Arabidopsis thaliana: one gene and its partners. The protein of the gene in region 1 purifies or fractionates together with the protein of each later gene. This does not show direct contact. Each region holds a gene or a part of one and is shown in the gene's direction. Other genes may lie near its edges.

Region 1 (8,542 bases):
AGAAAGAAACTGACACGTTAGAGATCAAGCAATTGAAGCATCGATCTTTTTGATATCTTCAAAATTGCCTTCGATTGAATAAAACTACGCCATTTTCGTCTTGAAATCGCATGATATGAGACGTATTTGGATCATTCGTGTAAATCTCAAATCGGTTTCCATGGAATAAAATAAAGATCTTACTCGATAAAGCTTGAATTGAATGGGATCTTCTTGAAGAGTATCAATGGTGATCTATCACTTATATACCTGCGCTTCAGAGAAATCCAATCGCAGTCGTCTTGTCTCGCCGGAGAAGACGATGTAACTAACTCTCTTTCCCGCCTTTCTATTTTTTTTTTTTGGTTTTAATATTTCCAACTGCACAATCGTGAATATATAGCAATCTAATTGGGCCGTTACAAGTTCTTAGAGGGCCTAAACCAGGTCTAGAGTTAAAGTCAACTTTAATTTCCCCCGTATTCAGAAAACCACATTATAAGCATATAATGGGCTAACAATAAGGCCCACTAATTACAAAAGTAAAATTGAAATTGTAGTCAACTCTCCTAAATTGATCACTGATCTCAGGACTAAAAACTAATCTCGATCGTTAAATATAATTCGTTTAGAAAGAGTCTCACACTGCTTTTTTTTTAATGTATTAGAAAAATAGATTAAATTCTACAAAAAAATTATCTGCAAATGCAATGCACAAACTTTTTATCAACAAAAAGAAAAAGATTACATTGTTGCCTTTACAATCAAAATCGTTTAACCTCTAATCTACACAGAAGTGACAAAATCGATCAGTTACAAATGAAATTTAAACACTTTTTTTTTTAAAACTCAAAAGCCAAAAAAGCTATGAAAGAACCGGTAATCGAATACATCCACATTGAACCGGACCAGAAGATCAACGCTTTTACCGCAGGAAAATCTTTTGACCATTAGCACCTGCAAGGAACAAAGCAAAAAGGCAGTGATGATGATGATGGTTTTGAATTATGATGATGATGTGGTTAAGAGGTGGACATTACGTACATCGGTTAAAGATTTCTACGGCTAACTGCAAGATTATCTCGCTTTCTAATTCTAGCAACTGGGCGTGTTTATCTGCAAGTTCTTGTGCCTCTTTTGCTTGGAACTCCAAGTGTTCTGCCTCGGCGATTAATTTTGCTACTGCGTCCATCTGAGGATTTTCTTCTGGTGCTCTTGGTACGAGAGAAGTACAGAGGAAAATCATTTGACCATTAGCACCTGCAAGGAACAAAGCAAAAGGCCAGTGATGATGATGATGATGGTTATGATGATGATGATGATGATGTGGATAAGAGTTGGACATTACATCGGTTAAGGATTTCTACGGCTAACTCCAAGATTATGCATTCGGAATTTAGCATCAAACTGTATCTATCTGCAAGTTCTTGAGCCTCTTTTGCTTGGAACTCTAAGTGTTCTGTCTCTGCGACTAGTTTTGCTACTGCTTCTGCCTGAGGATCACGTTGTGGCGTTGTGGAATCTTCTCTAGTAGCAGGAACACGTTGGGGCATCATCATCATGTAGCGGTTTCCTACCTGCATTTGCAAGTTTTTTTTTACTGAGCTGACCAAACAAAATTCTATAACGCTATCTCGCAACTTGCATTTGGTATTAGGCAATGTATGGAGTTACCTTCTCTATTTTTCTTTCAGCAACTAGTTTTTCAACCTCGCCTCTCAATCGCTCCCTAGAATTATCCGGTATCACGTACCGGTCCTGAAATTTATATTAACCACAAGAACAACTTTCAAACTAGTATCCAAACAAGCTATACATGTCATCATCATCATCATCATCATCTAAGATCAAACCTGAAAACGGATACTTATAGGTAGAGGGAAAGAGATTCTACTAACATTGTTAAATTTGAAAATCCCATCGACATCACGACCAGTTCCATCATGTTCATCATCTATTGTTGATAAAGCTTCAAAAACCATATCATCTAAACTTAACGTGTACCTGAAGAAACAAAAGTATCAAAACAAACCAGAAAGCAAAGATCAATTTCAAAACATTTCTGTTCAAGAATCCAAAAAGGTCACAAACTCAAAGGTAACGTTCGCATCTGCAGAATCCATGGCCGCTGAAGAAGAAGGCTCTTCGCTGCAAAATAGAAAGAAAGTGGCAAATTAGGGGTTAAAAGATCAAGAAATTGATCGCATATCGTTGTGATCGAGCTCTTTGATTTCCCAAAACTTGGCGTCGATTTTAATCAGAAATTATGCCATTTTGGATTTGAGATTAAAGAACCCAAGATTTCACGAACCCAGAGGAATCGTTCGCAGCTGATGAACTATCTTCAGAATCCTTGGCCACTTAAGAAGGCTCGTCTCTGAAAAAACAAAAGAAGAAATAAAGATTTTGATCATTCGCGTAAATGTCATTCGGTTTCCATGGAAGAAGATAAATATTAAATCTATATACCTTTGAATTTGAGATCTTCAAAAAAACTCAATCGCAGTCGTCTCGTCGGAGAAGAAGACGTAACTAATTCTCTGTTTCCCGCTTTTCTACTTCTTTTAATTTCCCAACTGCAAAATCATAAATATAGCAATACGATTGGGCCATTATAAGTCCTTAATGGGCCTGTCCTCAGGCCTATAATTAAAGTCAGCTTTAATCTCGACCGTACAATTATGCTCCGATGATAAAGTCCTTAACAATTTTGCTGTCTCTTGGTAAATCAGAAAGCTGAGAGCAACAAAAAAACAATTTCTAGTAATAAAGAGAAAAAAAAAACTAAACAGTCCAAACCAAAAAGTTTTCTTCTTCCATAGTTACTAGTTAGAGCTGCGAAACGAAAATCGTAACGATAGTGCATCAATGGCTTATGCGTCACGCATCATTAATCATTCCAAGAAGGTAACTGTTTCTCGATTACATTTTTCCTCCGTTCATTTTGTTATCTTTTTATCTTCTTCAGCGATCGAGTATTGATATTACGAAATTGGGTTATGACGAATTCTTTCTGCTTTTAGAAATTCAGTTGAATTGTAATAATCTAGAATTGTTTTTACTTACGAGCAATGTGCTAAAATTAGCTAGATTTAGAGCTCTATGATCATTTGTGATTTATGTGTCAGCTTGCTTCTTAGAGATGATTGAGATCTGTAACGCCACTTGTTTTAATTTTTTTTGTAATTGACAGTTGAAGGATGTTTCCACTTTACTACGCCGTGAGAATGCTGCAACGATCCGCTACTACTCGAATACTAATCGAGCTCCTCTGAACAGAGAAGGTAATATTATCCTTTTGAGGTAGAAATTTTCCATTTGTACTTTTGTATGGTTTTATGGTTAGTATCTGTGAGACTCTCTGCTTGTTGCTTCAGCTTTTTTTTTTGTTATGGTCTTCAGATACTTTCAATTCCCGTCTTGGTTATCCCCCACTGGAGAGGATTTCCATATGTAGCACCAGCACTGTAAGTTCCTTACTGTTCTCTGTAGCTGTGTAGCTGAGTCTCTTCTCGTTGAATCATGTTGACTAGTTAGCAGAAACCTTAAGAGTTTTACATGGTCTTGATGTAGTTACCGGTGTCCATTATTTTTTCAACTACGAGATCAAATCTAAGCAGTGCAATGGGAAGGCCAATATTTGGAAAAGAATTTTCATGGTTCAGTCTCATTCTCTTACTCTATGTGGCGGATGTGCATTAGCCTTAGCTGCCTGCTTGTATAGATACTTTTTATTCCTAACTATAAACTTTTTTTTCTGCATACCAGTTTGATGCAATCAGCTAGAGGATTTTCATCGGGTTCAGGTAGTCAGCTTTTTCTCCCTGACCTTTAAATTTGTTTTATGAGCTTTTGTTCACTTTACTCTTGTAGTTTCCACCTTGATCTTACATACATATTCAGCGACTCCATTTTAGCTAAGGATAATCTGTTTCACATTGCCATTCATCTGGTTTTACTTGAGCAATATCATATTTAATGACTTTGCTAGAAAAAGGTCATTCCTTCCTTGGATACAGTATCTGGATGACGGCTTTACTGCAAGATCCTACTAAGACAATTGCATAGTGCTTAATCAATTGCGTAACTTAAGAATGCTAAATGGTATGAGCTTTACATTGGTTCATTTTACCTAGAATTTCTGAAAATGTGTTTCAGATCTGCCTCCTCATCAAGAGATCGGGATGCCTTCTCTCTCGCCAACAATGACTGAGGCATGGATCTTTATTTACCTCTTGATCAAAACTTATGTCCGTTTTATCTTTATGTTCTAATAAGCTTTTTCCAATTTTTAGGGTAACATCGCCAGGTGGCTGAAAAAAGAAGGTGATAAAGTTGCTCCTGGGGAAGTACTCTGTGAAGTTGAAACTGTAATGTCAATGTAGATTGAGTCTCATTTCCGTATTTTTATTTTCATGTTTTGGAAATAACTCTGACTAGGTTATGTTCAGTAGGACAAAGCAACTGTCGAAATGGAATGCATGGAAGAGGGCTATCTCGCCAAGATTGTAAAGGCGGAAGGTTCAAAAGAAATTCAAGTCGGCGAGGTATGAAAATTGTCTGCTTTCTGTAGAGTTATGTATTATCATGGTTTCTCATGGGGCTACGGGTATTGATATTAGGATCCACAGTCCATTTGTGGAAATGTTAATTGAAATTATTTGGATAATGTCATTTTTTTTTGCTTTCAAATAGGTAATTGCTATTACAGTTGAAGATGAAGAGGACATTGGAAAGTTCAAAGATTACACCCCATCATCTACTGCTGATGCCGCTCCTACAAAAGCAGAACCAACTCCTGCCCCACCAAAGGAAGAGAAGGTCAAACAGCCATCATCGCCTCCTGAACCGAAGGCCTCCAAGCCTAGCACACCTCCCACAGGAGATCGTGTTTTTGCTAGTCCTCTTGCAAGAAAGTTGGCTGAAGATAATAACGTTAGTTTCACAGTGTTCTAAATATTCTGTTTTTTCTTATTATTCCTGCTTAATTTTTCTTCTTGTTTACTTTATTTAAAAAAACATCAGGTGCCTCTCTCAGACATCGAAGGCACAGGTCCTGAAGGACGGATAGTGAAGGCAGATATCGATGAGTATTTAGGTATAAGTAACTCCATGACTCGTCCTTTCCTTTCTTTTTCTTTCAGACCTTTCTTGCCTCTGTTTACAGTTATCACTCATCCTTGTGTCGTAATACATCTTCCAATGGTGCAGCTTCAAGTGGTAAAGGAGCTACTGCGAAGCCATCTAAGTCAACTGATTCTAAGGCCCCAGCTTTGGACTATGTTGACATCCCTCATTCTCAGATACGAAAGGTAAAACCTATATTACTCTCGCAGCCTTTAAGCCAGTTTCAATAGGTTCAACGATTCTGAAATCTCGTTCGTTAACTTTATAATTTTGACAGGTCACAGCCTCACGTTTGGCATTCTCAAAGCAAACTATCCCTCACTATTACTTAACCGTCGATACATGTGTTGACAAACTTATGGCGTAAGTATAAAGGTTTGGATGATGTATTTTGAGTCGCTGTCAATGGGTAAGCTAAACTAAGCGAATTTGTAAATGCAGTCTGAGGAGTCAGCTTAATTCATTCAAAGAGGCTTCTGGTGGGAAACGGATATCTGTCAATGATCTTGTTGTTAAGGTACATCTTTCTTGTGTATACTTTACATGCAAGCCAACAGATCTTCTAAAATATCCTACTGATATCATGCGTTTTTAGGCTGCTGCATTAGCTCTCAGAAAAGTTCCTCAGTGCAATAGTTCATGGACTGACGATTACATCCGCCAGTAAGTACATTGACAAACTTTTGAATATGATTGTGGTAGCAAACATTGTAACCTTTCTCTATAGGTTTAAAAATGTGAACATCAACGTCGCGGTGCAGACAGAAAACGGGCTGTATGTCCCTGTTGTGAAGGTGTGTTCAAAATAGTGTTTAACCCTTGGCTGTAGCACAAACTTCAGATTGCTGAATTATATAAATTTCTTGATTCCAGGACGCAGACAGGAAGGGTCTGTCCACAATTGGAGAAGAAGTTCGGTTATTAGCTCAAAAAGCAAAAGAGAACAGCTTAAAGCCAGAAGATTATGAGGTGAGAGAATTCATTATCTTACTCACTAATCATATCTTTCAGTAAACATGCTAATAATCTCGTTTTCTCAGGGAGGAACATTTACTGTCTCTAACTTGGGAGGACCTTTTGGCATCAAGCAATTCTGTGCAGTCGTTAATCCACCTCAAGCCGCCATTCTAGCAGTTGGATCCGGTATGCTCTCTCTCAATGCAGAAGAGAGTTTTTTTACTACTTTACCAAAGATCCAATAACCGATTCGTGTTGTGTCTGATTCTTAAAAAAAAAAAAAACAGCTGAAAAGAGAGTTGTCCCTGGTAACGGTCCAGATCAATTCAACTTTGCTTCTTACATGCCTGTTACACTGAGCTGTGACCATCGCGTAGTAGACGGTAATCCAGTTCATTCATCATCATTGATTCATTCATTCATCATCATTGTAGAAATCTAATATTCTTCTTCTTACTGCAGGTGCCATTGGAGCTGAATGGTTGAAAGCATTTAAGGGATACATCGAGAACCCTAAATCTATGTTACTCTAAAAGAGAACCAACCACGCAATGGAAAAAAACACATCAAAAGCTGTCGTAAGAGTCTCTGTACCAATTAGATTTTCTTTGTTTTCCTCTGTTTCTTTCGGGTTTTTCTAAAAAAGACTTTTGTTGTTTTCTGAATAAATATGGTGTGAGGGATTCAGCATTTCCACTGTAAACTGGATTTTAGGATATTCTTTGCTGGTTCTGGTTGTTCAATGTTCATTGAGGAGGGCTGTGAAATAAAACTCCCATTATTTTGTCATGTGAAGTACTACCCTATATGGGATGGGTTTTGTAACCATGCTTGATAGTTGATACAAGTGGATGGATTTGAGTGAGTGAGTGAGCTTTCGTAATCTCTATTTAAAATAATAAAAAAATCAAAACAACATTTTTACACTATATTCAACATTTGAATGGCAAAAGAGTCCATACCAATCCATTATAGTCTTGTTTATTGTTGTAAAAAAAAACTGCTTGTATTCAATCAAAGTCACTCTATTTATTATCCATTGGGGTTTTTTTCCATGTGGTAGCAGAAAGCCAGAAACAAATTAATGTTGTGATTTTGATTTGTCTCAATAACGGGAAACGGAAAGAAATTACGTTTCGATTGTTCCGATACATTCTGAATGTCACTTGATCCTAAATGCAAAACAAAATCCTAAGTTTTTTCCTAAATACTCAATCTCATATTTATTTATGGGTTTAATGATTTTTTCTGATTTATTTTATCAATAATGTTTCATACATAGTTATCTGATTAATTTATTCAGTTATTCACAGTTTTATGTTACACAGTTTTAAGTCTAAATCCATTAAAAATATCTTTTCAGCCATTATTATATCCCAAAAAAATCAATAAAAATCTTCAGCTAACTTCGTCGGAAACGAAATAAACAAATAATAAATAAAATAAAATTGAGAGGAACCAAAAAGAAAAAGAAAAAAACGTTAGACAACGAAAGCAAGAATCTCTCTTCCCGTCGGTCACGGTCGCGAATCTCTCAGGCAATCTTTCTCTCTTTCTCTTTCTCATTTTGTCTCTCTTTCTCTATCTCAGAGGCAAGTTTCTTTGAACAACTTTTCTGGTGATTTTTTTGTCCCTTTCTCGTTTGATTTTACTCTGAAAAATTCGTCCTTTTTCTCTCAGGATCAATAGTTTTTTCTTCTTAATCGCTTTCTTTTCCAGAACCCTCTCATCGTCTTAGGGTTTATATTAAGTTCGTTTTTTTTCATCTTCTGTATTGGATCATCATAATAATTTTTGGATATCGGAAAATGTAGCTTTTCTGAGATTTCTCCTGATTCTTATTAGCTGACATTTGAGAAAAAAAACTCAGCTTTGTCTTTTTTACATTTAATCATTTTTGTCTGAGACAATTTTCTGATTGAATGATGTTCAGGTTACTTGGTGAGAGGAAGTTTAATCGGCGCTACAAAATTGCACTTCTTTCGCCATGAATTCGAGTATGTTCACAAATTGTCCATTTCTCTTGTGACACCATTGTTTGTTTTTTATCTTTTACTATTTGAGTTCCTTGTGAATGTTGGACTCAGCTTTTTGTTTACATGATTCTTGTGACACCATTATTTGCTGTTTATCTCTTACTGTTTGTGAATGTTTGAATATGTTGTTAGCAGATTTAGAGGAACAAAAGAAAGGAAAGTATGTTCTAATCCGTGATGATGCTGAGGACTCTGAGTTAGGACAATTCTATAAGCCCCTTCCTTGCTTCGGTTTTGGAATCGGATGGTTCTCGTGAGTACTCACTCACTCTTTTTTCTTATTATTATCGAGGATATATTGTCTTGTTGAAGCAGAATCTTTTACCTCTTTATGTTAGGTTTCTTCTAGGATTCGTCTTCCCGTTTGCGTGGTACGTTGCTACATTTCTTTATTTGATCAGCTATTACCATAGAGATCCTCGGGAAAGATCTGGTCTTGCTGC
Region 2 (7,284 bases), on another chromosome or scaffold:
AGAGATGTATATTAACATTCTTATTTCCACTGGGCCAATAGATGTTTCCAGAACTTTGATGTGGAAGATTCTTATAACAACTTCATTAATTTGAATATCCCAAAGGAGAATGAAAGAAACAGAACAAACTTTTATTTCATCTTAGAACAAAACACCATATCCCTCACGCATTCCGATTACATTCATCAAATCCATAAATCAAAACAAAATAGATAAATCCAACACACAATCACAAAACAAACTCAAGCAACTTGAACTTGAATTGTCTTTGGTTTCTTTGGTTCCGGAGGAGGAAGTTTCTGAACAGTAACCTTCAACACACCGTCATGACAAACAGCAGAGATCTTGTCCAAATCTGCATTTTCAGGCAACTGAAACTTCCTCATGAACTTACCCATTCTTCTCTCCATCCTCACATACTTCACACCTTCGTTTTCTTTGTTCTCTCTCTGCCTCTCTCCACTCACCACAAGCACATTGTCGTTCTCGACCTGAACCTTGATCTCATCTCCTTTGATTCCAGGCATGTCCACGACGAATGCATATGCGTTAGGGTGCTCGATGACGTCAGCAGGTGTAGCAGCCATTGCCTTAGCGTCTCGCATGTAAACTCGTGAAGGGTTGTTGCGGGTCTTCTCGTTGTTGTGGTCTTCGGGGACTTCAAGCATGTCTTCGAGGATTGAGATTATTGGAAACCTTCCTAAATCCATTGTTAGTTGTGTTGTGTTTGCTTTCCTGATTCTTTGATTCTTGGCTTTTTGTTTTCTTTGATGAGTTTGATGTGAGAAATGTGGGGACTTAAATAGGAGTGGAGATGGATATTTCTAGAGGATTGTCGAGAGAGCGATTGTCGCGGTCTTTAGAAGTTCTTCCGTATTGTTCGAGAAACGTCTTGGTCGTTCTGGTTTTTGTGAACTCTGTAACTCAGGTTTGATAAAATATGAGCCATAACTTTACAGAATTTTTAATATCTATATGGGCTTTTAAATTAGGAATATATCAAGGCCCATTCCATATGTGAAAATAGTTCATGATTCATAAGATTAGTGTTTTAGCAAATTAAAGAACAAATTTTGTGATTTAAGGAATCCGAACAATATTGCTCATTTTAAAGAATACATTCAACTGGAAAGTACATACAATTGCTGAAGACTTGGATTACAAGTGTACAACATGCACCTCAAGATCAGAAGTTCAAAGTCTTAATGATGGAAACAAGACTAAATTAGTATATGCTCTGGTTTCTGGTCAGAAAAATTAATGAAAGACCATATTTATTTTAGTGACCAAAGAAAAATACTATATATGTGGTAGCACTAACTCACTGAATACCACTAAATCGTGTATAACGACATTAATATAAGCTATTAAAGACGGTTACAAATCTGCACAAAACTTGATTTGTCTTAAAACTCAGTTGATGTTATTTGCATTCGCAAATGCAAATTTCATTTAAAAAATAATGTAGCAGATTGAGATATCAGACTTCGTATTATACTACAGATGTAGTAGCTGAAGATTCAGTTACGTTATCCAACATGAAAAAAGTACAAAGAGTTGTTTGGATTTTAAAATCAGAATAACAAAATTGTTTCCTTTCATCTAATACTTAAAGGATAAAATTGAATATGTAAGAGTTTTTGCAGATATAATAACACTGTGTTACTGATCTCATACCCATAAATTACTTCAAGGGACATAACTCCAAAAATATATTTTGCTGACTGCAGAGATAAGGGTGAAATGCAAATGTGGATTTGATGGCCAATGTGCTAAATAGCACCAATGATATTAGGAAAGGATGAACAGTAATAATTTCTGCAAAAACAGAGGAATGACCATTCGGTGTCTTTTTTGTTGTGGTCCTATTTTTGCCTCATAAGCATGGATGGTTCAAGAGAGCAAAAACTTCATTGATTTGAAGATTGAACACAAAGACAAATATGAACAGAGAAAACTATTTTTATTTCATTTTACAACGAACACCAAGAGGTAGTTGCTTATCGATTACATTCATTAAAACACAAAAACACGATCACAAACAAACTCAAGCGACTTGAACTTGTATAGTCTTTGGTTTCTTTGGCTCAGGAGGAGGAAGTTTCGGAATAGTCACTTTCAACACACCGTCATTACAAGCCGCAGAGATCTTCTCCAAATCTGCATTATCAGGTAACTGAAACTTCCTCATAAACTTCCCCATCCTCCTCTCCATCCTCACAAACTTCACACCTTCATTCTCCTTGTTGTCCCTCTGTCTTTTGCCACTCACCACAAGCACGTTCTCGTTCTCTATCTGGACCTGAATCTCATCTCCTTTGATTCCAGGCATGTCCACGGCGAAAACGTACGCATCCGGGTGCTCGATAACGTCAGCTGGTGTAGCAGCCATTGCCTTTGCGTCTCGCATGTAAGCTCTTGAAGGGTTGTTACGAGTCTTCTCGGTTTGTTCTTCAGGGGCTTCAAGCATGTCTTCGAGGATTGAAAATATTGGAAACCTTCCAAACTCCAAATCCATTCTTAGCTGTTGTGTTAACTTTCTTGCTTCTTGGCTTTTTCTTTGGTTTGATTGATTTTGATTTTGATGTAAGAAAGTATTAAATAGAAGTTGAGTTGGATAGTTCTAGAGCAATGTAGAGAGAGCGATTGTTTCGGTGTTATAGAACTTAAAAGCGCTTCTCTAACGTTCGAGAAACGTCTTGATCGTTGGAGAAGTGTAGATGGATATTTCTAGACGAATGTAGAGAAAAGCGATTGATTCGGTCAGGCCCAAGACCAATTCGTTTTCAGGCCCATATGTATTCTGTTTTGGATTTAGTAAGGATGTTAAATTTATCCGGTTTGGTACGATTTCATTCGAATTTAGTGTATAAAATTGATTGAACCGCGTCAATACGGTTGAAACGCAAACGCAGAGGATTCATGAGTCATGGCTTTTGTGAGGTGAAGTATCAATATCATCTACCTACCTATATGATCATCGGACTAAAGTGAAATGAAGTCAGCAATTTCATCGTCACTCTTCTTCAATTCGAAGAATCTTTTAAACCCTAATCCTCTTTCTCGCTTCATTTCTCTCAAATCTAACTTCCTCCCTAAATTATCTCCGAGATCGATCACTAGTCACACCTTGAAGCTCCCATCTTCGTCAACCTCAGCTTTAAGATCCATTTCCTCTTCCATGGCTTCTTCTTTCAACCCTGAACAAGCTAGAGTTCCCTCTGCTCTTCCTCTCCCAGCTCCTCCGTTGACCAAAGTTAGCTCCTTTCTTTTCATTTACCTTTGGGTTTTCAATCATTTCAGCTTTTGATTGATTTCTTCGTTCCATGGGTAATTTTGTAGTTCAACATCGGATTGTGTCAGCTATCTGTTACATCTGACAAAAAGAGAAACATCTCTCATGCTAAAAAAGCCATTGAAGAAGCTGCTTCTAAAGGAGCTAAGCTTGTTCTCTTACCCGTGAGTTTTTCTTCTTTGTATCTTAGCTCATAGCTCTTTGTGAGTTCAATTCTAATGTTCTGTTGCTCAAATGTGTAAAATTTACAAAAAGTATGAGCTAGTGGTATCGTCTCTATGGGGTTTAAAACCATTCAATGGGTTTGTTTCAGGAAATTTGGAACAGTCCGTATTCCAATGATAGTTTTCCAGTTTATGCGGAGGAGATTGATGCAGGTGGTGATGCTTCTCCTTCAACGGCAATGCTTTCTGAAGTTTCCAAACGTCTCAAGATTACAATCATTGGTGGATCTATACCAGAAAGAGTTGGAGATCGTTTGTATAACACTTGCTGTGTCTTTGGTTCCGATGGAGAGCTAAAAGCTAAGCATCGGAAGGTTAGATTTTTTGAGATTAAACTTTCATAGAAGAAATAATGAACTTTCCTCTGCTTTAGGCCATAGAATGAAAGATGCTAATCTTACTTCTAAAATCGTTGTTCATCTTTTATCATCTGTTTTTAGGATCTAATAGACTTAGAATCAGTAATTAGAATGATGTGGTAGTTATGTTCTGGTTCGAGTTCTTCCTCTATGATTCATAAGGACAAATTATGAGGCGAGATGGCCTTGACCGTTTTATGCTTATATTATCAATTCTCAGAACATCTTGTTTTTGATTGCTTGCACTTATTTGTGTTTGTACTTGTGTGTGCATACAGATACATTTATTTGATATAGACATTCCCGGGAAGATTACTTTTATGGAATCCAAAACTCTTACTGCTGGAGAGACACCAACAATCGTTGACACAGGTTATAATCTTGGTTTGCCAAATATAATTCCAGGTCATGCATAAACAATCATGTATCTTACATAAACTCATTGTGGTACTATCTAAAAATAATAATTTAGGATTAAGGATTTAAATTTCCAGTCAGATTTGGGATCTTCTTAGCTCAACAGTGAAATGATTCATTTTCATGCTGGCCTAGTGTTTATGAATAATAATGTTTTTAAGATCTTGCCAACTATTTTGACTGGGGAAATGTCTTTATTGAACAATCAAGTCATAGTAGGACCGTTCACATCACCTCTCACTTTCTAGTACTTATGAGAAATCTTTAACGCGGTGCAGCGCTTGAGAATGATAGTTTTGTTGGTTGTTGCAGATGTAGGGCGTATTGGAATAGGCATCTGTTATGATATCAGGTTCCAGGAGTTAGCTATGATATATGCTGCAAGAGGTGAGTCTTCATATCATAATGCTTTATCCAAATGGACTATCTGCTTCCTCTCTTTTTCGGGTCCATTACGTTTTAAAGAACCTCATCACCCACATGTTTACTTTAATCATATCAGGGGCTCATTTGCTGTGCTACCCGGGAGCCTTTAACATGACAACTGGACCATTGCATTGGGAATTACTACAAAGGGCCAGGTATGATTCACAGTCTACTACATTACGACTTTCTTGGCTTATTTAATCATGGGTAAATCACAATGCTCATCGATCTGTTTTGTTCCATTTCAGGGCTACGGATAATCAGGTACATGAACCAAGTTAAATACTTGTATTGATAGCCAAAAGAGAGATACAAGTTCTGACATTTCTTAATGAATTCATAGCAAACCTGCATTTTTCTTTGAGTTATCAATACAAGTATTATCTTCTGCTCTTTGGGGTTAGTTTTACTTAATTGACTGTTATCAAAGTCATGGACCGGTTAATAGAACTATGTATGCTACTTTCTCCAGTTATATGTGGCGACATGCTCACCTGCCAGAGATTCAGGAGCTGGCTACACTGCTTGGGGGCACTCAACACTCGTTGGGCCTGTAAGCACTAAACTTTTTCTGTGTTACTTGATTGATAATGAAGCTTTTAGCTGATCACTAAACTTTGAAACATATATATTATTTGACAGTTTGGAGAAGTACTAGCAACGACTGAGCATGAGGAGGCCATTATCATAGCAGAGATTGATTACTCTATCCTTGAACAACGAAGGTAATCACGGAAACACCAGAACTTTCTTGGTTTTTGATAGCGTGATCCGCTAACTGAATCTCGTTTTTTTTACCATCTTAGGACTAGCCTTCCATTGAATAGGCAGCGGCGGGGAGATCTTTACCAGCTTGTAGACGTACAGCGCTTAGACTCTAAATGAACGCAGCAGTAACTGTATATCTGAGAGATATTGCGAGTTGAGCACGATTTGGTTACTTACAACTTCATGCATGATCAGTCATTTCTCCACAACTTTGCTGAGATATGTAAAAGAATAAAAATCAAACTTTTGAGTTAAAATCGAACAAAGGCAAGTAAATTCTGCTTAGATAATGTGAACTCCACCCACTTGCCATGTGTTTGTTGTTTATAAACTTCAATGCATTCTGATAACAATGTAGACTTGTGATTCGCAATCAGAATAGCATTTGACTTTTTTATCAAAATATATACACTATTTTTGTGAATTTCTCAGTAAATGTCATTGTCTATGAAAAAAACAACTCATATCTTCATTCCACAACCATCATATTCAATATCGAGTACTTACTTAAACTAAAATTGTTATAACTGGTTCTTCAAATGTTCACACCTACTCAAAACGTTTCATCACATAACTCAAGTCAAGTCAAAGATAGCCATGGTATATTTTGCTACACATCAAGATTTGTAATATGCAATGTAATTTGTTTTAGATGAGAAGAAGAAAAGAGTATATAGAGTATGCAGATAGGTTCATCCACAAGCACAAGTGGGATATAAAAGATTTGAAAATGAAATAACATATAAACTTTTGTCAGCGGCCTCAACATGATTTGAAGATCCGTGGTTATTGTTGAATGATAAATGACCGGACGACAAAATGCAGTTACAACAGCAGAAGCCTTACAAGATTCACCACAGTGTGTAGTGGTTTCGTCTTTGGAGAAGACACGTGGACCAAGCCTATAGGGTAAAGAAAGACGTAGAGTGGTCCATGCTCGTCACAGGGACTCTGCGAAAGAAGGAATGCCGTACGCGTGTGGGAGGCCGCACGTGCTAGGGGCCCATGTGGCCATGGGCTATGCTTCACGTGCCAGGTCACGTGTAGGACCAAACCTCACCACAGTTCGGTACCACCGCGTGAATCTTCTCTCTTTTCTTTGTGTCAGCTCTTATTGTCTCTCCCTGACCAGCTCAATCTCTGACTACCCCGTGCGGTATTATTTCCTTTTACTCCTGTTTCTTGCTCATATCCCAATAACTCAAATAGTTGTTTCCATTTTTTAAGATTCATTTCCATTTTATATCATTTTGTAACCCTTTTTTTGTAAATATTTTATCTATTCAACCTCACTTTAGCGAACATTATCTTACAGTTTTTGTTGCTTTTACTTTATAGATTATATTTCTCTTAAACATACAAATAGAAATTAGTGTAATGTTTGTATGATGTGTAAATGATATCTACTCCCAAATAGTATCACTCAATTTTGGAGTATATTATTGTTATAGGCATAGTATTTTAAACAAGGACACAAAAATATTTTTGCTTTCATAACAATCAAACAAGAAGTCATGTTTATGTAAGTTTCTGTTTTGTACTATATATCTTGTTTGTTTTTTTAACTGTCTTGTATTATTATGTTTAGGTAAAAGTATGGTCCAAACTAGAAACAATATTTACGGGGGAATTATTCGAAACTGGATATGATAAGGAGATGTCAAACGAAAAACATTGGCCGAAGTGTGACAAAGATATATAGAATAGACACACAAGAAGACATAAGTGTTTTTCATAACGAAAAAAGAAAAAAAAAAAGAAGAAGAAGACATAAGTGTTTATGAAATGAGGAACA
Region 3 (7,728 bases), on another chromosome or scaffold:
TCATATTATCTATCTTTGGTTTGTTAGAGATGTTGTGTTGTTGAAGTAATTGTTCATGAAACTATCTTACTGGAAATAATTTGTTCTTGCAGGTATCTCAGTGGAAATATGCTAAACGGATCAATTCCAAGCTGGATGTCAAAAGAGAAAGATAGAGATATAATGTGAGTTTCCTCCTTTGAGTTCCAAACATCTGCCAAATAAACATGTTTCTTAAACTTTTTTGATTTTTCTGATCTTACGTACAACAAATTCTCAGAAGATCTAACCACCAAAAAATGTGTGGAACAACACATGTAAGAAGACATGCAGTATTTTAATATTCATATGGTTTTTTAACTAGAAATCTCATTGTTTTTGGTACCATTTATCTCTTGTAAGGATATGTTTGCAGGTTCGTAAGTCGTATTTCCTCATTATTTGTTGTTAAAGTCTCAACTTTGAATGTACTTTTTTTGTTAAAGTCTAAATTTGAATTTAGCTGTGACAAACTTCAATTTCACCATTATAACTTTTTTGTTGGTACATTGAAAGTCGTTTCTCTATTCAATGACAAATATTATTCACCTTCACATGAGCGTCACCATTTTGATTTCCAACACGAATGTCGTTTTTGTTGTTACGCTGCCTCACGGGTTATTGTCTGTGCAGCGAGCCCACAAGACCCGCATTTTTATCCAAATAGATAAGGTTACGTAATAGGTACTACTCAAGATATATATAGTGCAAATATTTTCCAAACAGATAACAAAACGATCTCTCTCCAGCTTCGAGAGTTTCAGGAAAAGATCTTAGTAGACCTTTAGCGAATTCGTTTTCACAAAAAGAAACATAACTGATACATGAAACAACCCTTATGCATTAAAGCTTCTAATACAAATCATCTAGAAAACGCTAGAAAGGAGATTAGCAGCGGTGGAAATAGCTGCTCCAGTGAGAGCAGACTGAACCACTTGCTCATGGCTTGTCCTCTCAGACGTCGTCATAGCCATTGCCGCTCCTGTCAATGCTCCAGCTACCGCGCTGTTCCGCTGTGACACATATCAAATTACATACTAATTAAAGATCATGTTCATCATTTGTTCGTTGATGAAAACAAAATGACACAAGTCAAATTAATTAGACTAACCCAATCATGAGCTCCTCCACGAACCTCTGTCATACCGTAAGTGATACCTGAGTATAACCCTGCCGCTAGCCCTACCATTCCCAAATCATTAAATCTCTTTCCAACGTTAATCGTGAAGCGTTAACTTAATCAAATTCATATATAAACTCACCCCATTGGAGAGATTCTTTTCCTGTGTTCTTCACCTATAGGCCAACAAATTTAAACATTTTCAGTTAACTAACAAGAAACCTTATGAGTTACGACCATTCTTTATGTATTATTTTGCAACACTTAGATATGAACACACTAGCACACTAGCACACGAATATTTGACGAATAATAAAAGGCTAATAATTAGCGATTGTAATAAACTCACCAATGCATCAAGAGATTTGCTGCTTTCCCCTGATTAAGAAAACAACGATAAAACATCATTAAGATAAACATAATGCTGATTACATAAGATCATCAACCAAATATGATACAATTATGTTACGGACCTCTGAGATTAGGGAACCTATGTTTCTTGTTCCCTGTAATCTCCGACGGTGGACCCACGTTGTTCGAGTCAAAACCTGCCCCTAAAATGTATAATCAAACTAAAGTACGTTCTCTATTTATTCATTTTCACTCTTACATTACATACTCATTTCTTATACATATAAATCATAAGTAAGAAGAAACCCGCCGGAGTTTCTTACCGTCAACCACGGTAAAGTAAGCTTCCCTTGACACGGCTTGTAAAGCTCCCACCTTCATAGTTAATCCATATTAAGCTATGTTACTACATATATGTTACATGCATATACGACAGGGAAACGAAGAGATATGGATGAAAACTTACTCCGGCGGCTTTAACGAAGGAATCTGCGATACGGTTAAGAAGAGGATGACCAAGATCGAACAAGTGTGCCTTCTCAAAGCTTCTTATCTCATCCATTACAATTCTTCCTCCACTCTTCTCCATTTTTTTCTTTCTTTCTTCACTTGTTGCTTCTCTCTTTCTCTGTTAATACTTCTCTCTTCAACAACAAGTAAGGAGAAGATTGTGAAACAGAACAGCGTTCTTTTGACACGTGTTCTGCTTTTCCACACGTGTCGGAGTCTGCCGTTTGAACTGTTCGCCGTTCTCCTTCCCCACGTGGCTCTCACAAGATAACGTCAGGCAGACCGAGAAATAAAAGGCCCAATGGGCTCAGAGTTGGATATTATAGCCGGGAATTTTGAAATCTCCGGTTTAAAGACGAGAAACGTGACACGTGTCATCTCCGCTTTGATATCTCCGCCTCCGCTCGTCGGAGTGAGACTAGTACAGACTTGTCATCTCCGTCACTCCCTTTTTCTCTACACAGATCTCTCATTCACTCTCTCGTACACAATGCAATCGGTTCTTTCTCTTTCCTTCTCACAAGCATCGCTTCCTTTAGCGAATCGTACGCTTTGTTCATCCAACGCAGCTCCTTCTACGCCGAGAAATCTCCGGTTCTGTGGACTCCGGCGAGAAGCGTTTTGCTTCTCTCCGTCGAAGCAATTGACCTCGTGCCGTTTCCATATTCAGAGTAGGAGAATCGAAGTCTCCGCCGCTGCTTCTTCTTCCGCTGGAAATGGAGCTCCATCGAAATCATTCGATTATGATTTGATCATTATCGGAGCTGGAGTTGGTGGCCATGGAGCTGCATTGCACGCCGTCGAGAAGGTCCTCTTTCTTCCTCTTATTAATTAGGAAGAATTCAAGTTCGATTATGATTCTATGCTTTGCCAATACTCTGGATCAAATTGATAGTGGAATCATATGCTTTGTTTGATAGAGATGGTTCAGGAATGCTTTGCAACATCTTCTTCAATATGCCAATTTTGGAATCGTACTAGCTATTACTGTATTTCTTTACGGTATTCATGATCTCATCGAGTGATTGTTGTTTTGATAACGTTGTATAGGGACTCAAAACTGCTATCATTGAAGGAGATGTTGTTGGAGGTACTTGCGTTAACAGAGGCTGTGTGCCTTCCAAAGCTCTACTTGCTGTTAGTGGTAGGATGAGGGAACTCCAGAACGAACATCACATGAAGGCTTTTGGTTTGCAGGTAGTAAAAATTCCTGTAGAATGCAATTGTAGACGCTCAATTTTGATCTCAAATCATTGTGAAGCAAGTATCATCTTCCTGGCCTTGACTCTTGTTTCCTTCCATTGACTCCCTTGGAAAACAGGTTTCAGCTGCTGGTTATGACCGCCAAGGTGTGGCTGACCACGCAAGTAACCTGGCTACCAAAATTAGGAATAATCTCACCAATTCTATGAAGGCACTTGGTGTTGACATATTGACAGGGTTTGGCGCTGTTCTGGTCAGTATGTTATTGTCTTTGGTTGACTATATAAACTCCAAATGATAGGTCGTTGTTATGTGGTGATCCTAATACTCTTTAGTCTTTTGTGCACTTTGCAGGGCCCACAAAAGGTTAAATATGGTGACAATATTATCACCGGAAAAGATATAATCATCGCAACTGGATCTGTACCGTTCGTCCCGAAAGGAATTGAAGTTGATGGTATGTGTTTTTGTATAAATGATATGTGAAAGGGGAGTTGCCTCAAAAACCAAAGCTTCTCATTTCTTTTAGTATAGCAAGTACCCTAATATTCCTCATATTTTGTGCTGCAGGAAAGACTGTTATCACAAGTGATCATGCATTGAAATTGGAGTCCGTTCCTGACTGGATTGCGATAGTAGGAAGTGGTTATATCGGTCTTGAGTTCAGTGATGTTTACACGGCCCTTGGAAGTGAGGTAACATTTTGATTTTGTGCTAATGATTTGCACTGGTGTGATAGTGTGTTGTTTTTTGCGTTCTCTTTAGTTTTCTGTTTTCTCTCAATAGTAACAAAAGGCTCTTAGGATGTTGTTGTATTGGTAACCTGATCGAGCAAATGGGCGATAGCTATATTTTGCTTAAGGTTTGTGATGCTCTGCAACTCCAGGAAGTGACCAAGCTCAGGGGAACTCTTTTTTTTTTTTACAGGTAACTTTTATTGAGGCACTGGATCAACTAATGCCTGGATTTGATCCTGAGATCAGTAAGCTGGCTCAAAGGGTTCTAATAAATACAAGAAAAATTGACTACCATACTGGAGTATTTGCAAGCAAAGTAAGCCTTTTTGTCTCATGCATTTTAAATTAGATATCTTCCTTACACAGTGGGTTTACGAATTTTTTTTGTTAACGCTTCTTTACAGATCACTCCAGCAAAGGATGGGAAACCAGTGCTGATTGAACTAATTGATGCCAAAACCAAGGAACCCAAGGATACTTTGGAGGTAACAAAATGTTCTGCAGATATCTGAAAATTTACAAGAGAAAATAGTTGTCTAGTTACTCTCACACATGTTCTTTTCACATGCAAAGTATATAAATCAATGACATGCATACTTTTGTAGGTTAGCCAGGGCTTTTCGTATTATAAAATCAGATCTTTTCCTAAAAATTAAAATAATAATAATAATAATAGAATGTCTTGGAGTTACAATCACATTTGAGACTTTCATGTGTTTTTTGCCTGCACTGAAAGTTTGACCATAAGTTCCTTGTTCAAGGTTGACGCTGCTCTAATTGCTACTGGAAGAGCTCCATTCACCAATGGTCTTGGCCTGGAAAATGTATGAATTAACAATAAACCCCATTCCTTATGAATATGTTTTCATTTTCGTTCCCTGAGGACCTTATTTGGTTACTAAAGAAATAATAAAAGCTGTGATTTCCTCACAGATCAATGTTACCACACAAAGAGGTTTTATACCAGTTGATGAGCGAATGCGTGTTATTGATGGAAATGGAAAGCTGGTTAGTGGAGTTTTCTTTCATATAGCTTATTTCTTACCAAAAGTTATATATTTTTAAGCTACTGAGTCACTCTTGGTTGATAGGTTCCCCACTTGTACTGCATCGGTGATGCCAATGGTAAACTGATGCTTGCTCATGCAGCTAGTGCTCAAGGAATTTCTGGTAAATGGTTTTATCAATATTTCACTCCAAATGCATCTTTCTTTTGTTTTTCCTTTTCTACACTGAATACGTTAGATTGACCTTTATTAAACTCTATGCATCTACTTGTGTTGGCTAGTGGTGGAGCAAGTCACAGGTAGAGATCATGTGCTTAATCATCTTAGCATCCCAGCTGCTTGTTTTACTCATCCTGAAATAAGTATGGTGGGATTGACAGAGGTAACCTCTAGACACTCTTAGTGGATTGGTTTTTAAAAAATTGCAATCCTAATTTATGATTTCGGTAATCTTTAATGCAATTCCCAGCCTCAAGCGAGAGAGAAAGCTGAGAAAGAGGGATTCAAAGTAAGTATCGCCAAGACAAGTTTCAAGGCAAACACAAAGGCCCTAGCCGAAAATGAAGGAGAAGGACTCGCTAAGGTGAAGAGAAGAACCAAAAATTGAAATAAAAAAAGATAGTTGTATATAGTTCTGGAGTGACTTGCGAAGATAAGATATCTGAACACTCTCTTCATGTGAACAGATGATATACAGACCTGACAATGGTGAAATCCTTGGAGTTCATATATTTGGATTGCATGCTGCTGATCTTATCCATGAAGCATCAAACGCGATTGCTTTAGGAACACGTATTCAGGTCTGGCTGCAAACTAACCTCTCTCCGGTATTGATCATAGGACTTTAGATTGTGAGCTTTTTTTGTGTGTCTTTGTGTGATGATAAATGCAGGACATAAAACTTGCTGTTCATGCACATCCAACACTGTCTGAAGTTGTAGACGAACTGTTTAAAGCAGCCAAGGTAAAATACAAGAATCTACATTTGCATTCTCTAATCAATAGACATCGAATCTCGATTAAAAGGCAAGCAACTCCTGTCTATATCAATTTCAGGTCGATAGTCCAGCTTCAGTAACAGCACAAAGTGTGAAAGTTACTGTGTAAACATGAAGAATTTAAGAGCAGCCTGTAACAAAAGTTTTGTGGAAAAGACATTTGTACTTCACCAATATTCATCAAAGGACGAAGATTGCGTCTCTAGTTTCATCACGTATATTTGTTTCATGGTTTTGACAAACTGTATCTTTATTAGATTAAAAAAAAAAACAGATTGTGACAGACACAAAATTAAAGTATATTTATTATAAGTCAGAAATCCAAAATATATAACAGAAGAAAGACAGTAAGCAGGAGAACTTTTAGACAAACTAAAAAACGTTTTAGCTTTTTAGCGTCAAATCTCACAAGTCACATAACGCAATACAAGACTATCCACCAAACAAAAAGAAAAACTAACGACAAGACGCTCTATGGAAATTTCCCAGCTCCAGGATCAATTTACCACAACACCCTTTGAAACTTTTCTGAAAACCGCTTCTTAAAAGGTCGAAATTGCCCCTCGTCATTTGCACAAATTTACAGTTCCTCCACAACACAACACACCCACTCCTCCTCTATTATTCCATTCAGCTCTCCTCCGTAGCCATTTGATCAAGTTCTTGCATCCCATCATACTCCAGCTGTGTTACATTTTATAATTTACCATAACCAATTATCATAATTTTGCAAGTGAAATTGTGTTTAATCTATTACGAATATACTTGAAATGAGTAAAGAAAACAGAAAGCAGCAAAAGATTTTTACCTGAGCTTCTTCATGAGCCAGTTTCATCCTTCTGTAATCTTGCTGAGCCTTCTTGGACCGGAACATGGCCTGGACTTTAACCACTGACCTCTCAAGCCGTTCCTCCGCTTGTTTCTGGCTTGTCTTGTAGAAATCCTCCACCGCCTCACTCCCTTCCTTCTCGTCAGGTTGACTTACCTGAAGGCCTCTGAATCCTTTTCTCTTCAGTCTCCATCTCAGAATTGCCTTCTCAAGAACTCCCACTGACCATGTTATTTTCTGGTACTGTCTTCTTACTTGGAAACCTCTAAACGCAGCCTGCAAAACATTGTCATATTCAAAACCATAGAACAGTTTTATACGGTTGCAGATAGTTTCTCGTTTCTTTTCTTAAAGACGGTAGAAAGATTAGCTTTCGCTTGTACCTGGATCCTAATTGCCTTCTTTCGCATGTTCAGAAATTCCCGCCTCATTTTCCATGTTTGGAACCTATACTGAATCCGAGCAGCGGCTGCAATCTTCCTACGAACCTCGAAATTGCGAAACGCGTGCTGAATCTTCATCGCGGCTATTATGTTTTTGGCTTCTTCTTCCTTGCTAGCAAACCTAACTGCGCTTGACCTAACTTTCAGCTCGTGCTCCCTGAACGCTCCCTGAATCCGCGCCGCTGCCTCTGCAGCAGTTCTGTATGCCGCTAGAGTGTCCTTCAGGCTTTGCTCCTCTTCATTTGCATTCCCTGGATTTGACGACTTCTCTGCCTTGATGGTTTCAAGGTTGCCACTAATGTTTCCAGCCGTTTGCATGTCCTTGAACTGTGCTACAAGACATTTCTCAGCAAGAAAAGCTGCTAAACCGTCATAACCTTTCTGTTGTGCCAGATCAGCTGCCGTGCAGCCGCCGAGGAATTCCTTAGTAGGGTCTGTCACCAGGTTTGGCCTTGCCCCGCAGATAGAAGAGCAGCCACCATTTTCTCCCTTTAAAAAAAAATAAAACTTGG
Region 4 (8,298 bases), on another chromosome or scaffold:
GATATATTCAAGCAAAACTACTCGTGTTGTTTTGGGAATTTTTGAAATTTTCAAGTAATTTAATAAATTTGCACACAAAATTTCATATTTCAATATATAAATAAACTCGAACCCAAACCCGAACCCAAACCGAACCCGACCCAAAATCTTAAATTACCCGAACGGGTCCTAAACTTCTAAACCCGAAAACCCGAACCCGAAATACCCGACCCGAATACCCAAACGCATAGGGCTAATAATTAATTAAAAAAAACAATCCACAAAAATATTTAGAAACCAAACATTGTTGAAAATATATTTTTTGTATATGCCGTAATCTCGTAAGTTAATTTTACATCATGCAAATTAATATTAAATGAGTTAAAATTAATAAATGAAAATAATTGAAAAGTTAAATCCTATAAGCTAAGCTATTTTTCTCAAAATGTTATATTTTTCACTTATGATTAGATGAGTTAAAGACAAATTTGTTAATTTTCCTTTTGTTGAATAAATGTTAATTGTTTATAAATATATAGACGTATAAATTAGTATATGTAAATTTGTTTACTTTTTAAAATTTTCAATTTTTTTTAGAGAATAAAAAAGTTAAATTTTGAATGACACATGTAAACATCTGATCGTTTGACTTGACATGTGTAACAATTATATGAGTTAGCAACTTTGAAATCCATACTTTATATAATAAGATATAGCTGTCTTTTTACCAAGATGAGATTTCCTTTTATACCTAATTAAGTTTTACTTTGACTCATATTATTCAAAACATATAACCTATGTAACTGAGTCAACAAAACAAAGAAGCTTGTTAGGGAAACATAATCAATAAAGTTTGGTATTATAAATACAATAAAGTACTAAGTGGAAAGAGTCCATATTCAATATACTTTCATATTGCAAGGAAAACAAAAAACAAAAACAACATGGGTGCTCTAGCAGAACTTGTAGCTCTCATTATCGTTATGTGTGCAAGTGTAACAATGTCCCTCGCTCAAAACCCCATGGCTTCACCACCAAGTGTTGAGAACCCAAATACAACAGTGGTGATACATAACGCTCTTTCAGGTTATTGGCCAATGGCATACCATTGTGCATCAAAAGACGTTGATTTTGGACTCCGACGTATGCTAGCTGGTGGATCGTGATCATTTGAATTTACACCCAGTGTTTCTGGAGATACTAAATTCATTTGCACTTTTGCTTGGAGACTAGTGTTTCGTTATTTCCGTATATACATACAAGAAAGAGACCAAGAATCTGCAATGTTTGGATGCAAAAGATGCGAATGGAAGATACGTGAAGAAGGACCTTGCAAACTGAACAAAAAGACTGGAATGTTTGATCTTTGTCCTCCTTGGGATTCTCAAAATATTTGAATTTTTTTTAACATTACTGCTCTGTGTAGCTACCTTTATTTATCTAACAAATAAATTAATAAAATAAAATAAAACATTTGATCTTTAAAATCGATTTTTTGGAGCCTTTTATTCGGTATATACCGAAGTTAATATAGAAAAAATCAAGTTAACACAATTGCATTTTCTTGAAACACAGAGAATTTAAGCATAATGATCATAAACATGTTACCATTTACCAAATGACTTTATCATGCTTCTTTGGCTACTTGAGCAAGAGGATCTACACCATTTTTAGAGCAGAAATACACTCCAAAAAAAAGTAACTCAAGTCTCAAGATGAGTTGCTAGCACCAAAAGATATTGCGCGGCGCTGGCTTCAACAAAATCTGATCTACGTTTCACTAGACCAACAACTAAAATAGGGTGGTCGTCCTCGCTTTTGTGCTCCAGAATTCGTCCATTACTGGTTGGTGAATACAAAGCAAAAAATTACGAAAACGTACTTGAAGTTGTGAACTGTTTTATATAATTTACCTTTCTTCAAAACGCCATAGAAGCATAGAACGATCGTGTAACAACCATGCACGTCAAATCTCAGGGAAAAGTCCATGTAAGATTGTCCCTTCCTTATCATACATACATGTCCTTAACTAAAGAAGGTAATTTCCAATATGCGTCAACCTCGGCCCACGGCTGCACCAGGACAACATGAAAAATAAAATTAAAAACCATTAAGGAAAAAAGCAAGCAATTTGTTTCATGAATATTTATGCATAGATATAATTAATTACCTTGCTTGTTTTTCAGGTGATGGATTATATAAATTACCACGGCTATATTTTGTAAAGTCAAAGAATTCGTTGATTGGACGACGCTGCAGCGAGCCTTCTTGGCAGTAGTGGTTAATGAGTTCCCATGCGAGTTCCACATTCTTCATCGAAATCAACATCTTGCTGGCTACTTTTAATTCACTACTAGAACTGTCGAGCAAGTAATAACATAACCCTAATGAAACAAATTACACGATCTTATGAGCGTGAAGTGGCTACGAGGTATTTCATAAAGCATTTTAATTTTGAAAATCAACTTCACTATCCAAAAAGTTCCTAAAATCTAGAGAAACTAGTTTTTTAAGCGATTTGTTTTTAAGTTTGTTACAAAATCCAAAAATTAATTTAAATATATATTCACAGCCAAAAATGGGCTACGAGGTCTATTGACCCAATGGGCTTTTTAAGACTTAAACCAGGTTAGAAAAAATGAAAGAAAAGTCGTAAATGCCTCGTGTACAAAAAAAAGTGGTTAAACAAAACAAAACAAACAAACAAAGCGGGCTTTGAAAACTCCGCCTCCGTTTGTTGGCTATTTACACTCACTCTGTCTCCGCCGGTAGATTTGTCAGCTGCGTCTTCCTCGTTTTCTCTCTCTCTGTCTGTGTCTCTTAGAATGCAATCAGCTATGGCGCTTTCGTTCTCCCAGACGTCGTTTACAAGACCAAACCACGTGCTCGGATCATCTGGTTCTGTTTTCTCTACGCCCAGAAGTCTCCGGTTCTGCGGACTCCGGCGGGAAGCGTTTGGTTTCTCAACGTCGAATCAGTTGGCTATTCGCAGTAACCGAATCCAATTTCTAAGTAGGAAGTCATTCCAAGTCTCCGCTTCTGCTTCAAGTAATGGTAATGGCGCTCCACCGAAATCTTTCGATTACGATTTGATCATCATCGGAGCTGGAGTTGGTGGCCACGGAGCTGCTTTGCACGCCGTTGAAAAGGTTTGAAGTTTCTTATATAACCTGATTTGATGAAAGTAAAAGATTTGCTCTGCTTATTATGGAAACATTGGTGATTTTGTTTGTGTTAGGGACTTAAAACAGCCATTATTGAAGGAGATGTTGTTGGAGGGACTTGTGTTAACAGAGGATGTGTGCCTTCTAAAGCTCTTCTTGCTGTTAGTGGTCGAATGCGGGAACTTCAGAACGAACATCACATGAAGTCCTTTGGTCTCCAGGTAAATATCAACTCATGTTCTCTGTTTAAAGTTGCAAGCTTTGTCTTTGGTGTGAAATGGTTGTAGAAGATCGAGCTAGTTCAGGAATTACTCATTACCTTTCACTATCTTATGGTTTTTGGTTTTCCTTTGGGAAACAGGTTTCAGCTGCTGGATATGATCGTCAGGGTGTGGCAGATCATGCTAATAATCTGGCTACCAAAATACGAAACAATCTGACCAATTCAATGAAGGCAATTGGTGTTGACATATTGACTGGATTTGGCAGTGTTCTGGTCAGTACTCAGTAGTACGTTCTATTCTTTCACGTTTACTAACTGTAGACAGGAACATGATACAAACTTTTCTTAAACGATGATCCTAACTCATATCAATATTTTGTATTTCTGCAGGGTCCACAAAAGGTTAAATATGGGAAGGACAATATTATTACTGCAAAAGATATAATCATTGCCACTGGATCTGTGCCGTTTGTCCCTAAAGGAATTGAAGTTGATGGTACGTTTCTTGTTTTGGACGTAGAGTTGTTAAGGGAGCATGCAGACTTGATTATTCCTTGAATGTTTACATTTTGGCGCTGCAGGAAAGACTGTGATCACCAGTGACCATGCTTTGAAATTAGAGTCTGTCCCTGAGTGGATTGCAATTGTAGGAAGTGGTTATATTGGTCTTGAGTTCAGTGATGTTTACACAGCTCTTGGAAGTGAGGTAACATGATGTTTCTGTACTAATGATATTACTTTAGTACGACTTTGTGATGTTGTGTCCTTGTACTTGAGATTGTAATAACTGCAATTAGCAATGTTCTCCAATTTTCTAGTTCTTTGTTTGGTCTCTTCCTGTATTGAGCTTGTTTTTGTGTAAATAGTAGAAAATAAGATTTTAAGGTACCAATCTGTTGGTTTTTCGATTTAAATTGTAGTTACTGATCGAAAACGGAAACCTTTTGTGCAGGTAACTTTTATAGAAGCACTGGATCAGCTAATGCCTGGATTTGATCCTGAGATCAGTAAGCTAGCTCAGAGGGTTTTGATAAATCCAAGAAAGATTGACTATCATACTGGAGTCTTTGCAAGCAAAGTGAGCCTGTTATATCATGCATTGCAAATACTGCTTCTCTTTCTCTATACAGTGTGTCCATGTATTCATCTGTTAAACTTAAATCTATTCTTATTCAGATTACTCCGGCAAGGGATGGGAAACCAGTTCTGATTGAGCTTATTGATGCCAAAACCAAGGAACCTAAGGATACTTTGGAGGTAACCAAATGGAATTTAAAAGATAACATGATCTGATGTCTCACAAAGAGAATATTTAACAGTTACTGGGTCCTTAACATGATCTGATGTCTCATGCCTGAATTGGGAAGATTTGTGCCGTTGGTAGTGGGTCCTTAGAAGTCTTGTTTTTCACTTTTTTGCTTTTCGCTGCAGTATTAACCACATTGTTACTCTTCCCACAGAAATGTAAGTATACACATTATGCATAGGTGGATTAGTAAAGCTTCTCATTTTCTGAATTTATTGTGGCCTTTCGTCTCAAGATAGAATATAAATAGTCATGTCTTTTGGTTTCTTTTCATTGTACCATGTGATTTTCTGCGCTGAAAGTGTAATTTTGTTTTCCTTCTCCAGGTAGATGCTGCTCTTATTGCTACTGGGAGAGCTCCATTCACCAATGGACTTGGCTTGGAAAATGTATGAAATGACACTAAATCCCACCTTTTAGTATTGTCATTTTGGTTACCAGAGAATGTTTAGTTGTCAGAAAATTAACCTTGAAGCTGTCATCTCAATGCAGGTCAATGTTGTGACGCAGAGAGGTTTCATACCAGTTGATGAGCGAATGCGTGTGATCGATGGAAAGGGGACTCTGGTCGGTTTTATTTGCATATACATACCTTTTCCTTGTCAGCAATTCTTTCTATATGCTAAATTCATTTCTACTTGTGATAGGTTCCGAACTTGTACTGCATTGGTGATGCCAATGGTAAATTGATGCTTGCACATGCAGCCAGTGCCCAAGGAATTTCTGGTAAATGGCTTATCAGTAGGAGGCTACTAACAATGCAATAATATTTTCCCTTTTTTCTTCTTGAGCCTTGTATTAAACTCTGAGCTCTTACTCTGTGGCTAGTGGTCGAGCAAGTCAGCGGCAGAGATCATGTGCTTAATCATCTTAGCATCCCAGCTGCTTGCTTTACTCATCCTGAAATCAGCATGGTGGGATTAACAGAGGTAGTTTTATATCCTAGTACTTGTGTACAGAAGAGGGTCAAAAAGAAGAATGCTATGAGCAAAATATGCTTACTGTAACTCCTTATGTTTTGACATTATTGCTAGCCTCAAGCAAAAGAAAAAGGCGAGAAGGAAGGATTTAAAGTTAGTGTTGTCAAGACAAGTTTCAAGGCTAACACAAAGGCCCTAGCTGAAAATGAAGGAGAAGGAATAGCTAAGGTGGGAGAAGCAAAAGTTGTTGATTTATTTATGTCTCATGAAAGAACATAGAGATCTCATTGCTTTTCATTATGCAGATGATATACCGACCTGACAATGGTGAAATCTTAGGAGTTCATATATTTGGACTGCATGCAGCTGACCTTATCCATGAAGCTTCTAATGCGATTGCTCTAGGAACGCGTATTCAGGTAGGATTTCATTGATTAGTGATTACTATTGAATCTAGCTCGTAGCCTTTGATATTGATAATATCCTACAGCGAAATCAAGTCATATACATAGTTCCTGCTGAAACTACTAAACGCATTATTTGTATCTGTTTCTTGATCCCCTGCATGTTTTAATGGTATCTCTGCAGGACATAAAATTGGCAGTTCATGCACATCCAACACTCTCTGAGGTCCTCGACGAACTGTTCAAAGCAGCCAAGGTAAAGCAAAACAGTCTCCTCATGCCATTGATCAGAGAGCCCCTTTATTCTTAACTGCAATCAATAGATTTAAGTCCTCTACTAAAAAGCAAAAGAATCTTACACTATAAGTTCAATTTTTCAGGTTGAAAGTCATGCTACGACAAGGACAGTAAGTGAAAAAGTGGTTGTATAATAAGAAACCAAAAACTTATTGGGGTGGGGAGAAACATCTTGAAGAAAGAAAATTTGTGATTGTACTTTAGGGAGATGCAAAGATAAAGCTAAACACGAACCAGGAAGATCGAAAAGGAAGAAGAAGAGGAGGAGATGATGAGAAACAACCTTCCGTAAGTAAAGACTTGAAAGATATATCTACAAGGCCTTCTTCTTTCTTTGAGAATATTTCTGTTGGAGTCTTGTCTCTGCTTTCACTTATATTTGTTTAATTGTTCCATGGTTTCAATTAGTGGAGATTGTGGTTTTGGTTATTGTATGTTTGTTTGATGTGAACGATTTTGGATGATTCTTCTCTTTTTACTAGTAAAATCACTTGTCTGTCCATTATTATCAATCAGATTCAGACGTGAAGTGACAGATGAACCTAGTTTTTTTTTTTGTCAAACAAACAAACAAGATGAACCTAGTTTAATGTACAAATGTTCATAAGATATTTCTCTGGTTACTTGCAATTTTATTCTACAAATATACAAGTCTAGATTACACCAAAGTCACATAGGAACCCAGTTACAGAAATAGACAAATAACTACAATACCTATTTGTTAATTCTGTCTCTCTTTTTCATACAACAGAGATTAGGTCTCGTTATGTATACTTTATTCTAAACCAGTTGCAGAAAGATCGAGAGTAGCCTTTCCCATTCACATAATTTACAGATCAATTACCATCCATGTTTAACAATCAACACCAAACTCTCTTTGACTCACCTCTCCATAGCCATTTTGATGTATCAAATATCTTCCAGGCAACCGTACTCCAACTGTGTCACACCATAACAAGACTCGTTAATTCAAGTATGAACTTATCTCCGGTTAGAGTTTTTTTTTCCAAAACTGAGATTCAAAAATGTCAGATGATTCACCTGAGCTTCTTCATGAGTGAGTTTCATCCTTCTGTAATCCTGTTGAGCCTTCTTAGACCTGAACATGGCTTGTACTCGCACTACAGATCTCTCGAGCCTCTCCTCTGCTTGTCTCTGGCTTGTCTTGTAGAAATCTTCCTGTGCCTCACCAGGAGAATCCTCCTCTGCTGCAACCTGGAGTCCTCTAAACCCTTTTCTCTTTTGTCTCCACCTCAAAACTGCCTTCTCCAATACTCCTACCGACCACAATATCTTCTTGTACTGCCTCCTTGCTTGTAATCCCCTGAAAGCAGCCTGCAAAATAGGAGGAAATACACTCATGTGTTGCAAAATTCAGACAGACGATATGATAAAGGTGTGAACTTTCAGTCTCCTATAGTTTGTGGAATTTAGACAAAAGTGATGATTATGAATAGCCAAGTTCAGAGCAAACTTATAATCTTGGCTGCTGAATCTTGTGTGGTTCACTTCATACCTGGATCCTAATTGCTTGGCGCCGCATGTTCAGATACTCTCTTCGTATTTTCCAAGTTTGGAACCTGCATTGAATCCGGTAAGCGGCTTCTATCTTCCTACGTGTATCATATTTCCGGAACGCATTCTGAATCTTCATCGCCGCGATTATGCTCTTGGCCTCTTCTTCTTTGTTAGCAAACTGAATCACGCTTGACCGTGCTGCCTTTAGCGCTTTTTCCCTAAACGCACCTTGAATCCGAGCCGCTGCTTCTGCAGCTGTTCTGTATGCTGCAAGAGCATCCTTGAGACTCTGCTCATCTTCCGGTAGAGTGCCTTGGTTCAACATCTCTGCCTTGCAAGCCTCCAGATCGCCAGTGATGTTTCCAGCAATTTTCATGTCTCTAAACTGAGCAACCAAACATTTCTCAGCAAGATAAGCAGCTAAACCGTCATATCCGTTTTGCTGTGCCAAATCAGCTGCCATGCATCCACCAAGATTATCCTTCGT

Evidence for each region.
Region 2: the proteins of AT1G54220 (region 1) and AT5G12040 purify together in Arabidopsis thaliana (affinity purification with mass spectrometry, with the first as the bait; one large-scale study listed by BioGRID). This does not show direct contact.
Region 3: the proteins of AT1G54220 (region 1) and AT4G16155 fractionate together in Arabidopsis thaliana (co-fractionation; one large-scale study listed by BioGRID). This does not show direct contact.
Region 4: the proteins of AT1G54220 (region 1) and LPD1 fractionate together in Arabidopsis thaliana (co-fractionation; one large-scale study listed by BioGRID). This does not show direct contact.

What each region holds. Positions count from the first base shown.
Region 1 is NC_003070.9:20,244,514-20,253,055, reverse strand, and holds AT1G54220 (Dihydrolipoamide acetyltransferase, long form protein), read left to right. Parts: upstream 1-2,710; 5' UTR 2,711-2,847; coding exon 2,848-2,886; intron 2,887-3,172; coding exon 3,173-3,263; intron 3,264-3,381; coding exon 3,382-3,446; intron 3,447-3,552; coding exon 3,553-3,638; intron 3,639-3,747; coding exon 3,748-3,785; intron 3,786-4,137; coding exon 4,138-4,193; intron 4,194-4,274; coding exon 4,275-4,349; intron 4,350-4,433; coding exon 4,434-4,526; intron 4,527-4,674; coding exon 4,675-4,914; intron 4,915-5,004; coding exon 5,005-5,077; intron 5,078-5,190; coding exon 5,191-5,291; intron 5,292-5,383; coding exon 5,384-5,469; intron 5,470-5,547; coding exon 5,548-5,623; intron 5,624-5,701; coding exon 5,702-5,769; intron 5,770-5,833; coding exon 5,834-5,900; intron 5,901-5,979; coding exon 5,980-6,075; intron 6,076-6,146; coding exon 6,147-6,249; intron 6,250-6,350; coding exon 6,351-6,446; intron 6,447-6,525; coding exon 6,526-6,596; 3' UTR 6,597-7,030; and 1 more. Other genes in the region: AT1G54230 (Winged helix-turn-helix transcription repressor DNA-binding protein), read right to left, coding at 905-936, 1,024-1,239, 1,328-1,556, 1,654-1,737, 1,878-1,983, 2,071-2,102; AT1G54217 (Ribosomal protein L18ae family), read left to right, coding at 8,051-8,060, 8,232-8,352, 8,438-8,542. UniProt on the Arabidopsis thaliana protein: The pyruvate dehydrogenase complex catalyzes the overall conversion of pyruvate to acetyl-CoA and CO(2).
Region 2 is NC_003076.8:3,882,167-3,889,450, forward strand, and holds AT5G12040 (Nitrilase/cyanide hydratase and apolipoprotein N-acyltransferase family protein), read left to right. Parts: upstream 1-2,782; 5' UTR 2,783-2,995; coding exon 2,996-3,256; intron 3,257-3,342; coding exon 3,343-3,459; intron 3,460-3,608; coding exon 3,609-3,833; intron 3,834-4,156; coding exon 4,157-4,250; intron 4,251-4,607; coding exon 4,608-4,682; intron 4,683-4,797; coding exon 4,798-4,876; intron 4,877-4,969; coding exon 4,970-4,985; coding exon of another isoform or gene 4,986-5,003; exon of another isoform or gene 5,004-5,193; coding exon 5,194-5,274; intron 5,275-5,363; coding exon 5,364-5,446; intron 5,447-5,527; coding exon 5,528-5,606; 3' UTR 5,607-5,911; downstream 5,912-7,284. Other genes in the region: HSP17.6II (17.6 kDa class II heat shock protein), read right to left, coding at 243-710; HSP17.6A (heat shock protein 17.6A), read right to left, coding at 2,048-2,518; AT5G12043 (uncharacterized protein), read right to left, coding at 6,594-6,728. UniProt on the Arabidopsis thaliana protein: Omega-amidase involved in the metabolism of asparagine. Probably also closely coupled with glutamine transamination in the methionine salvage cycle.
Region 3 is NC_003075.7:9,151,895-9,159,622, reverse strand, and holds AT4G16155 (dihydrolipoamide dehydrogenase), read left to right. Parts: upstream 1-2,489; coding exon 2,490-2,807; intron 2,808-3,049; coding exon 3,050-3,196; intron 3,197-3,320; coding exon 3,321-3,455; intron 3,456-3,556; coding exon 3,557-3,659; intron 3,660-3,772; coding exon 3,773-3,897; intron 3,898-4,129; coding exon 4,130-4,255; intron 4,256-4,343; coding exon 4,344-4,424; intron 4,425-4,700; coding exon 4,701-4,763; intron 4,764-4,872; coding exon 4,873-4,947; intron 4,948-5,030; coding exon 5,031-5,109; intron 5,110-5,227; coding exon 5,228-5,328; intron 5,329-5,415; coding exon 5,416-5,529; intron 5,530-5,632; coding exon 5,633-5,746; intron 5,747-5,838; coding exon 5,839-5,910; intron 5,911-6,002; coding exon 6,003-6,053; downstream 6,054-7,728. Other genes in the region: ATOEP16-2 (Mitochondrial import inner membrane translocase subunit Tim17/Tim22/Tim23 family protein), read right to left, coding at 885-1,031, 1,130-1,200, 1,281-1,314, 1,488-1,516, 1,612-1,692, 1,813-1,864, 1,956-2,078. UniProt on the Arabidopsis thaliana protein: Lipoamide dehydrogenase is a component of the plastidial pyruvate dehydrogenase complex (PDC).
Region 4 is NC_003074.8:5,784,890-5,793,187, reverse strand, and holds LPD1 (lipoamide dehydrogenase 1), read left to right. Parts: upstream 1-2,662; 5' UTR 2,663-2,804; coding exon 2,805-3,128; intron 3,129-3,217; coding exon 3,218-3,364; intron 3,365-3,504; coding exon 3,505-3,639; intron 3,640-3,756; coding exon 3,757-3,862; intron 3,863-3,947; coding exon 3,948-4,072; intron 4,073-4,318; coding exon 4,319-4,444; intron 4,445-4,542; coding exon 4,543-4,623; intron 4,624-4,998; coding exon 4,999-5,061; intron 5,062-5,164; coding exon 5,165-5,239; intron 5,240-5,319; coding exon 5,320-5,398; intron 5,399-5,500; coding exon 5,501-5,601; intron 5,602-5,706; coding exon 5,707-5,820; intron 5,821-5,897; coding exon 5,898-6,011; intron 6,012-6,180; coding exon 6,181-6,252; intron 6,253-6,376; coding exon 6,377-6,403; coding exon of another isoform or gene 6,404-6,427; exon of another isoform or gene 6,428-6,497; coding exon 6,498-6,680; 3' UTR 6,681-6,803; downstream 6,804-8,298. Other genes in the region: AT3G16960 (plant self-incompatibility protein S1 family protein), read left to right, coding at 924-1,134, 1,243-1,376; AT3G16940 (calmodulin-binding transcription activator), read right to left, coding at 7,203-7,232, 7,335-7,628, 7,810-8,298.